Linked DNA regions of Arabidopsis thaliana. The protein of the gene in region 1 interacts with the protein of each later gene in a biochemical or structural test. Each region holds a gene or a part of one and is shown in the gene's direction. Other genes may lie near its edges.

What was found.
Region 2: the proteins of AT4G37230 (region 1) and DEG1 form a complex in vitro, tested with the Arabidopsis thaliana proteins (one study listed by BioGRID).

What each region holds. Positions count from the first base shown.
Region 1 is NC_003075.7:17,514,658-17,518,199, forward strand, and holds AT4G37230 (Photosystem II manganese-stabilising protein (PsbO) family), read left to right. Parts: upstream 1-1,766; coding exon 1,767-1,971; exon of another isoform or gene 1,972-1,985; intron 1,986-2,069; exon of another isoform or gene 2,070-2,247; intron 2,248-2,703; coding exon 2,704-2,930; downstream 2,931-3,542. Other genes in the region: AT4G37220 (Cold acclimation protein WCOR413 family), read left to right, coding at 449-624, 714-821, 903-973, 1,059-1,312; AT4G37235 (Uncharacterized protein family (UPF0497)), read left to right, coding at 3,395-3,531.
Region 2 is NC_003074.8:10,364,868-10,370,778, reverse strand, and holds DEG1 (DegP protease 1), read left to right. Parts: upstream 1-1,834; 5' UTR 1,835-1,914; coding exon 1,915-2,336; intron 2,337-2,425; coding exon 2,426-2,548; intron 2,549-2,706; coding exon 2,707-2,878; intron 2,879-2,999; coding exon 3,000-3,037; intron 3,038-3,264; coding exon 3,265-3,463; intron 3,464-3,581; coding exon 3,582-3,734; intron 3,735-3,837; coding exon 3,838-3,972; intron 3,973-4,042; coding exon 4,043-4,120; 3' UTR 4,121-4,170; exon of another isoform or gene 4,171-4,430; intron 4,431-5,110; 3' UTR 5,111-5,127; downstream 5,128-5,911. Other genes in the region: AT3G27930 (beta-galactosidase), read left to right, coding at 172-213, 330-406, 501-591, 683-764, 856-928, 1,018-1,186. UniProt on the Arabidopsis thaliana protein: Serine protease that is required at high temperature. May be involved in the degradation of damaged proteins. In vivo, can degrade beta-casein.

The sequences.
Region 1 (3,542 bases):
AATCTTATTATCACATTATCAGTTGATAATCATCTGATGAGAAATAGTTCTTTGGAGATCTTTTAGGGAATTTTATAAGTAATAATTAAGGGATAATTGGATATCCTTTATTAAAAAATGTAGGCTACTTGTAGAATTAAAAACTGGAATCTTATAATATGATTAGTATAATAAGATTACGCTATATCTGGATTCTGGAGATATCATAGATAAGCTCTGTCTATGAAAACGAGACCCTTGGGGAAGCCACGTGTCAAATCTATCTCTGTCACCAGCGAAGCCTACGTGGCGAGCAGCTCCTAGAATATCCAAATTCACAACAGTATTTTTTTTTCTTTCGTTCTGATTCAACAGTTGTCACAAACAGCCAAGGTGTTTTGTGATTGGTTATAAATACTCTGCTATGTGAGAGAGTTTACTACATTCACAAACAAACTAAAACTTAAAAATGGGAAGGGGTGAGTTTTTGGCCATGAAGACTGAGGAGAACGCGGCTAACCTGATCAATTCCGATATGAATGAGTTCGTCGCCGCTGCAAAGAAGCTCGTGAAAGACGTAGGGATGCTCGGCGGGGTAGGTTTTGGCACGTCAGTCCTCCAATGGGCCGCTTCAATCTTCGCTATGTGAGCCAAAAGACAAAACCATATAACCTCTCTGGTTTTTGTTTGAATCATATATTGATATGATGGTTCTTATTGTTTTGCTTTGACAGTTATCTGTTGATATTGGATCGTACCAACTGGAAAACCAAAATGTTGACCACCCTTTTAGTACCATACATCTTTTTCACACTTCCTTCGGTTATCTTCCAGTTCTTTAGGTAATCAAGAAAAACTGTTCTTTAACATGATGTTATGGAGTTCTTTTGAAAATATAATCCATATTCGATATAATTTCACAGCGGAGACTTTGGGAAATGGATTGCTCTCATCGCGATCATAGTCAGGCTTTTCTTCCCTAAAGAATTTCCAGGTCAGAACCAGCAGTTTTCATGACTTAACATTAGTTTGAAACTTTGATCTTGAAAATCTTCTTTCTTTTTTGCATATAAATGTAGAGTGGCTAGAGATTCCGGTAGCATTGATTCTTATTGTGGTGGTGTCGCCGAGCCTTATAGCTTGGACACTAAGAGAAAGCTGGGTTGGAGCAGTCATATGTCTAGTAATAGCATGTTACCTTTTCCATGAACACATTAAAGCTTCAGGTGGATTCAAAAACTCTTTTACTCAAAAGAATGGAATCTCCAATACCATTGGGATCGTTGCCCTCCTCGTTTACCCGGTTTGGACCATCTTCTTTCACATCTTTTAAGTCAATCCGACCCATTGGTTTGTAGACACATTCAACATTTTGTGTCTTCAATTCGTTTTCAAGGTTTGAATTTTATAAGGAGCATTTGTGTTTGAGAAAGTCTTGAATATAAAAAAGAAGTTTCAATCGTGCACTGCTGACTTGTAAGATTGTTTTTTTTTTCTTGTAAATGTGTGACTTGTAAGATATATAAATAAATTTGCATATTGGTTGATTTGTTGAATCAATCTTGAATATTGTAGACTTTTTAATTGATCATGACTAATAGTTGTTTTTTGAAAATTGTTTTTCATTTCATTAACACCAAACAATAAAGCAACACAAATTTCTATCACCTCCTAGCATTGAACTACGTGCCGTTGTTCGTATCCAAAAGTGTATATTCTTGTAATCATTCACCGTCAAAGCTCAAGTAGTTAGTAGCACCACACCAGATTTCCAAAGCACAAAGCTCATGACTAGCCTTACCTACACACTCGATGAAATCGAAGGCCCTTTCGAAGTTGATTACGCAGCAGTGACAGTACACAACTTCCTGGTGGGGAGCGTGTACCGTTCTTGTTCACGATCAAGCAGCTCGTGGCATCGCAGAGGATACTTTGGTCCCAAGTCGATCCCTTCAGCATTCACCCAAGGCCACGTTGGAAATAAATCTGATCGTAAAACACAACATCTGCAGATTATTATCAATAAAAATTCAGAAATCAATAAAATTCACTCTGAAAACGCAGAAAATCTAAGGTAAATTCATAACGACCTTTTGAATTTCTAGTGTCGAAGCTGTATTGAAGAAGAAGAAGAAGATTCCGAAGCTAACAAAGGAGAAGACGAGAGTGGATTGATTGCTCCTCTCTCCTCTCTGATGATATTCGTGCTTCTACACTCACAGAGATACACTGTTTATTATTGTTTTCAATATATGAGAGGAGGAGCTTCCCTACTATTTTTAGTTTTTTAGCCAATGAGAGAGCTCCACTTCATACCCCACTTTTACCAATCGTGCGATTTCACAGCCACTCTCACCCATGTCGCGTTGAGCGCGTGTCTACGATTTCTAAAGGGGTTATTAATCCACAAAATTTATGCCTTTTTGAATCCACGCACCTCGTTCTTAAAAACCCATCGCGTGTCTTATTTGTTTTGGTTTTCTTCTCTAAACCAAATTAAACCGAACCGAGATCAATTTGAATTTCGAAACCAATGTAAACCCATCGCTGTGAAAACAAAAAGCTCGGCCACAAAAATGGAGACGACACAACTTGGAAGAGAAATCAACTCGAAATAGCCAAGAGAATGTTCGTAAACCCCCTCAAATCCGATGCTTCCTTTGATTCCAACCTCCAAAAGCCCATCTGCTCAAATCCGAGGAGTATTACAAGGTACCTCTATAGAATATCAAGGCTATGACAATGCGGTTGCATTACCTGCTAGAGGAAACAATGAGGAGCTAGCTAAGGAGAACAACAAGATCACACTTAGTGTAACAAAGAGTAATCCCGAGAGCGGTGAAGTGATTGGTGCTTTCGAGAGTATTCAACCTTCAGACACTGATTTGGGTGCTACGACTCCTAAGGATGTCAAGATTCAAGGAATCTGGTATTGCCAACTTGATGAATAAAACATAGAGAATCTGTTTGTTTTCTTTTTCTGTAAATGTTGTTATGATTAAGGAATATTGATTCCAGTTCATAGTACATGTGGTACTCCATTTGGTAACACTTTGCACTTTTGGCTTTAATCAGATACTAATTATTGTGATTAAAAGACTAATTATTGCGGATTAAGATAACATATTTGTAGATCTGTATAATTGCTTGTAACAGCAAAGATGATTTCTGGTTAAGAAGTAAGAAGAGATTTATAATTAAGCAAACCATTTGCCTTATGACCCCATTGTTGTCACATCCACTTTGTCTTTTCACCTTCCCTGTCTCAAAAAACAGAGGACCCTTGCTCTGTTTCTTAACCCTGTTTTATCTCCTACTCAAAGTTCAAATCTTTTGCGAAACCCAGTAATGGAAGATCAAAGCAGGTGAAAATGAGGAGAACTAGAGACGTTAACAAGGGCTCTTGTTCAAGGAGATGGTAAGAACAACGGCGTCGTTTGGAACCAGCTCAAGCTTTGTTCTTCGTCTCGGACAAACTCTGTTTTCCTCTGCTTCGCTTCTTTTCATGTGCTTTAACGATGACGAAGATTTCTACGCTTACACCACCTTCTGGTAATAAATCA
Region 2 (5,911 bases), on another chromosome or scaffold:
GTAGATGAAAACATGTTGTTTTGCTGTCTGTATGCACAAGTCTTAACCCCAAACAATTTTTCAGTATCTCATGGAACTTGACAAACGACCACATTATTTATCTAATGGCATATCATCCATTTTGTAGCATTTTTAGTCTTGCTGATTATGTTATCTTTCTTGTAAATGCAGTTTATTGCTTCGTTCTACCAACACGTAGTGGTCCAAAGACGGGTACAACTCTTTCAAACAAGTCCTTTTTCTGTGCTGCATCTTATACTAGTCTTCCATATATAAAGTTTAGCACATCTTTGGCTCAATATGAAATCGATTTAATGGACTTGGAACAGGTGCAAAATCCTTTCGAAGAAAACCAAGTAGTTGGAATCACAAACTACATTGATTTTGGTTTTGAGCTACAATCGAGGTAGTGAACATCTCTAAGTAAAAAAAAAAAAAACATTGTAGCTACTGTTTGTCTATACAGAAACAGAACTTTATATTTCGTCTTAATATTGAAGGGTTGATGATTCCAAGACGCCACCCAATGCCCCAGATTCTTTATTGCAGGTGGCTGCGTCTTGGCAGGCCAACAAGAACTTTTTGCTGAAGGTATAAAAAAATATTTACCTTATCGAGTTACTCAAAAAGAAACCATTTATCTCAAATTTTGCTCAGTATGTAACATTTTCAACTTTTGCAGGGTAAAGTCGGAGCTCATAGCTCAACATTGTCATTAGCATTCAAGTCGTGGTGGAAACCGTCTTTCGCATTCAATATTTCAGGTATGCGTTGATAAATAACCTGAATGCAGCGAAATCAAGATGAACATAGGTTCTTGGTATTTGAACATGTTTGGACTCATTTTTTATGCAGCAACAACTAATCATAGGACTGGAAATGTCCAATGTGGGTTCGGTCTACGTGTTGATAACTTAAGAGAAGCCAGGTCAGTCCATTTGTGACAAGTTTAAAATTAAATCAACCCTCTTTAGCTTCATGATCTTCTTCACATTGTTTTATTTTGTGAAATTGCAGTTACCAAAGAGCTGATCCAAACTTTGTAATGCTGACACCGAACAAAGAACATTTAGCTGAAGGGATTGTGTGGAAAATGGGGAAGAGACCAATGTATCAAGCCGATGTGGACGCAGAGAATTTTAGTGAGCTGCCAAAAGAACTTAGACCGTCCCAGAAGATTCTCTAAACTACACCATTAATCTTTTTGCACTTTTATCTAGTAGATTTAGATATCAACCAAGTCAAGTATTTAATAAGTTCGACGAAAGAAGAATTACTTAGGAATAACCATTTTTACTCTTATGGAGTACAAGTGTTTAGTGTTCAAAATTAGGAGTGGATTATCTGGTTTAAACTCTTAAGTTTGGTCTTTTTGGGCTTTTGATTTTTCGAAGTTCTTAAATGAAGCGAAATCCTGATTTGTTTTTGGACTTTTCATTCGGTTTGGAACGATATTTATATGGGATGATATATTACGGGTGAACAAATATCAAACAAAAACAAAACAAATAATATAAAGAAATACAACTTAAATTTAAAAATTTTAAAAAATCGATTATTGGTGTACTACGGGTTATGGATATAAGTAACAACATTCTTTATAATATTTACCATAATAAAGGTTACTGTTTAAATTTATTTTCAAAGTACAAAAAGTTTTCGATTCAATTTGATTCGGTAACAAAAAAAAGACCCGGTTTTGTTTATTCCAGATTCATAAGATCATAAAATAGTGGTTTACTAAACAAATTTCAATTCAATTTCGGTTCGATTCGGTTACGTATACAAAACCATAGCTTCGCATAGAAAAACCATTATTTTCAAAAATTAATATTTTTAATTACAAAAAAAAATGAAATAAAACAGAGACCACAATCCCATTGTCCCATGACCAGAAGAAGAAGAAGAAACTAAATGGCGACGACGACGAGTTGTTCGCTTCTCCTTTCTTCCACTCTCTTCCTTCACTCTCCTCCTTCTTCTCACCTCTCCTTCTTCAATCTCTCTTCTTCACGATCCTCTCCAATTTCTCTTTACCCAATCCGATCCAAACGCTATTTCCGAATCCTCTCGAAGCTTTCACTAAACGACAACAACAGAGACGACGATGATGATACTCTTCATTTTACTCCGTTCTCCGCCGTTAAACCTTTCTTCCTCCTCTGTACCTCCGTCGCGTTATCGTTTTCACTCTTCGCCGCTTCTCCCGCCGTTGAATCTGCCTCGGCGTTTGTAGTTAGTACTCCGAAGAAACTTCAAACTGATGAGCTCGCGACGGTTCGTTTGTTTCAAGAGAACACTCCTTCCGTTGTTTACATCACTAATCTCGCCGTGAGGTATCTGAATTTGATTTCTCTCTGGTGAATTTCGTTTTGAATTTCTTCTCTCCGTGATTTGAGGATTGGTCTAATGTTGTTTGAATTAGGCAGGACGCGTTTACATTGGACGTTCTTGAGGTACCTCAAGGCTCTGGTTCAGGATTTGTGTGGGATAAGCAAGGTCATATTGTTACCAATTACCATGTTATTCGTGGTGCTTCTGATCTCAGGTTAGTTATGTTGAAACTTTGAGAATCTGATTGATTTTTGATAGAAATTGGAATTAGTAATTGTTGTATTCTTAGTTTTATAATGAGTACATTGTTTCTTTGGATGGTTTCTTTTGATGTTTGTGTATGATAAGGAAGTTGGATGATGTATATAACAGGGTCACTCTTGCTGATCAAACAACATTTGATGCAAAAGTTGTTGGATTTGACCAAGATAAGGATGTTGCAGTATTACGTATTGATGCACCGAAAAACAAATTAAGACCTATACCTGTTGGAGTCTCTGCTGATCTGCTTGTTGGCCAGAAAGTCTTTGCCATTGGCAATCCAGTGAGTATACATCCTTAAAGTGATCATAGATTAAAGCTCTGCTTTGTGTTTTCTATTGCTAGCTAGGTCAATACTTATGTTTCTTGTTCATACGCACTAAAGCAAGAACTTTTTTGTGCAGTTTGGACTTGATCATACTCTCACAACTGGTGTTATAAGGTATGTTAAATTATATTTGTCTTCTCTTTTTTTTAAGTTGCATTCTACTCTAATCAGATGTGTTCTTCTCATAACGAACTCACAAATGAAAGTGTCAAAAAAGATGATTGGTACTTGAGGATACTGGATACATATATTTTCTCTTGCCCCTCTTCATGCCAAATGGCTATACTATTCCTTTTCTCTTATTAAAACTGTAGCATGTTTGTGCATTATGATTTGTACAGTGGTTTGCGAAGAGAAATTAGTTCTGCTGCAACTGGTCGTCCAATTCAAGATGTGATACAGACAGATGCAGCCATTAACCCTGGTAACAGCGGAGGACCTCTTCTAGATAGCTCAGGAACGTTAATTGGTATAAACACAGCCATTTATTCTCCTTCTGGTGCATCTTCTGGAGTGGGCTTTTCGATCCCAGTTGATACAGTGAGTTCTCTCTTCTTTTTTACCCATTGCAAATCTGATCAGATAGAGTCTTTCTCTATCATTGAATCCACTAACGGGAGACTAAAGTTGTTTCGAGCTCTGTTTCTCTCATGTTCAGGTTGGTGGTATCGTTGATCAGCTGGTGAGATTTGGTAAAGTCACCAGACCAATCTTAGGTATCAAATTCGCACCGGACCAATCTGTTGAGCAATTGGGAGTGAGCGGTGTGCTCGTCTTGGATGCTCCTCCAAGTGGTCCAGCCGGCAAAGCCGTAAGCTCTTCCTGTTTCCAAGTTTCCATATAACAGATATTTTCTCTATGTTTCACTCCGCGGTTTTAATATTGAAATGTGTAAAATTGGTTTTGTTCCACAGGGACTTCAGTCAACAAAACGTGATGGTTACGGGAGACTAGTACTAGGAGACATAATCACGTCGGTGAACGGTACAAAAGTCTCTAACGGGAGTGATCTGTACCGGATTCTCGATCAATGCAAAGTCGGCGATGAGGTAAACTCCGCAGTTTTTGTCAATTAGTTTCTGCATCCGAGATAGTTTTGACACTGATGATGTTGATTAGGTGACCGTAGAGGTTCTAAGAGGCGATCACAAGGAGAAAATCTCTGTAACTCTCGAACCAAAGCCGGACGAGTCTTAGAAACGTCGTTGAAAGAAGTAAATATACATAACGTGTAGAAAAAAAGTCCGGTGGGTTATATTTTTGTATATCAATTGTTCGGAAAATAGATCGTCCAATTGTGTACATAAAATCTGTTTATATTTGCATACATGCGAAAGGTAACCGGAAATAACCAAAATTGCAATGTCTTCAAACGGTCTTATGGTTTGGATTGGTTTTTAATTTCGGTTCAGACATTGGGAGTGACGAGTCTGACACCTAGAAAAAATCAAAATGAGAAAAATGAAAACCGAATTTCGTCGGCTTAATGGACAGTTACCTCATCTTAGCAATGATGCATAGTACTGATTTTGCGGCTTTGTAGTACCAAATTTTTTTTTCAACACTCTCTCGGATGCATAGTACTGATTTTGCAATGATGCATAGTACTGATTTTGCGGCTTTGTAGTACCAAAATAAAATTTCATGATTGTGCGGCTTAGCAATGATACATATTACATAGTACATTAGTACTGATTTTGGACCTTTATTTTAGTCGAGACAATTCTGAACTTACGGATTCCGAAGTTAACAAAGTCCTTTTATAGCTTTTATTCAGTTCCGAACATGGTTACTTTTTATACATGAAACTTCCTAAAATTTTACATCTACAAACATTCGAGTTTGAAAATTTAATGGTTTGATTTTCGACTCATTACCAAGAATTTCTTTTTGATATTATTCTTCATGATTTATCAAAAGATGTACGTGTATTATATGGTTATGTCTTGAGTTCATGTCATGTGTTCGAATCTTTATAATATAGTCTTACACGGTTTAGGTTATTTGTTCAATTGTTAAGTCATTTTACGGTCCCTATTTCACATTATGTTAGTTTTTTAAAATATTTAAAACAACGTACTGTAGTTTTGATAAATTATTGAGTTTTTTTATTAAGTTGTGAACGCATGCTCTCGTTGAGAGATCATTTACTCGAGCTAAGTTATGACTTGGATGGTTGTGTTGCAGGTGAAAGGTAGCTTTGCAAAAAAAAAAAAAGTTTGAGGTTATGTCTGCATGTTTCCCTGTATACAAACTCAACCATTTGTATTTTATTTTTTGGGTGCAAAAACTATAATTTACGTAGTTTTTGAACACTTTCATAACATCAAATATTACCCACGTGATAAGTGAAAACGAACCGAATATGTAATGATCAGCGAAGGTCCCTACGTGGAATTTAATATTTGTGTCATTCTTTTTAAGCAACACCAACAAGACACTGACATGGGTTGGTATTTATAAATTTGCAACGTAAAGTATATGTAGTAAGATTGTATCTTCTATGGTTGGGACTGTATCTAAACCAAACCGGTTTAATAGGGTATATATTTTTTTTGTCTTTGTCTTTGAATTTGTGGGGTCATAAATCACGGGCATCTTCATTTGGAAATGTATTCATAGTAATGTATATAAACTACTTTCGAGCCGACTTGGTAATGATTACGAGAATCCTCTGCTTTTGGAGTAAATTTCTAATTTAATATGTACGTGTATCTAGATATATATACGACGACATGTCGTTACCCAAATGCTTCGTTAGAGGATAGCTTGTTGAGAACTTGACTATGCCAATCATATATGTTTGTTTGGCTTTATGTAGCCCCAATATTAACAACTTAATACTAAAAAACCTAATAACAAAAACATTGAGTAAAAAACTACAGTACTTATAAGTAAAAAGAATAATGATAGTAGCTACTTCATATACATAATTTACATTTCTTAGAAATAATTGTTTGTACTTTCTCGAGTTAGTCAAAAATTAAA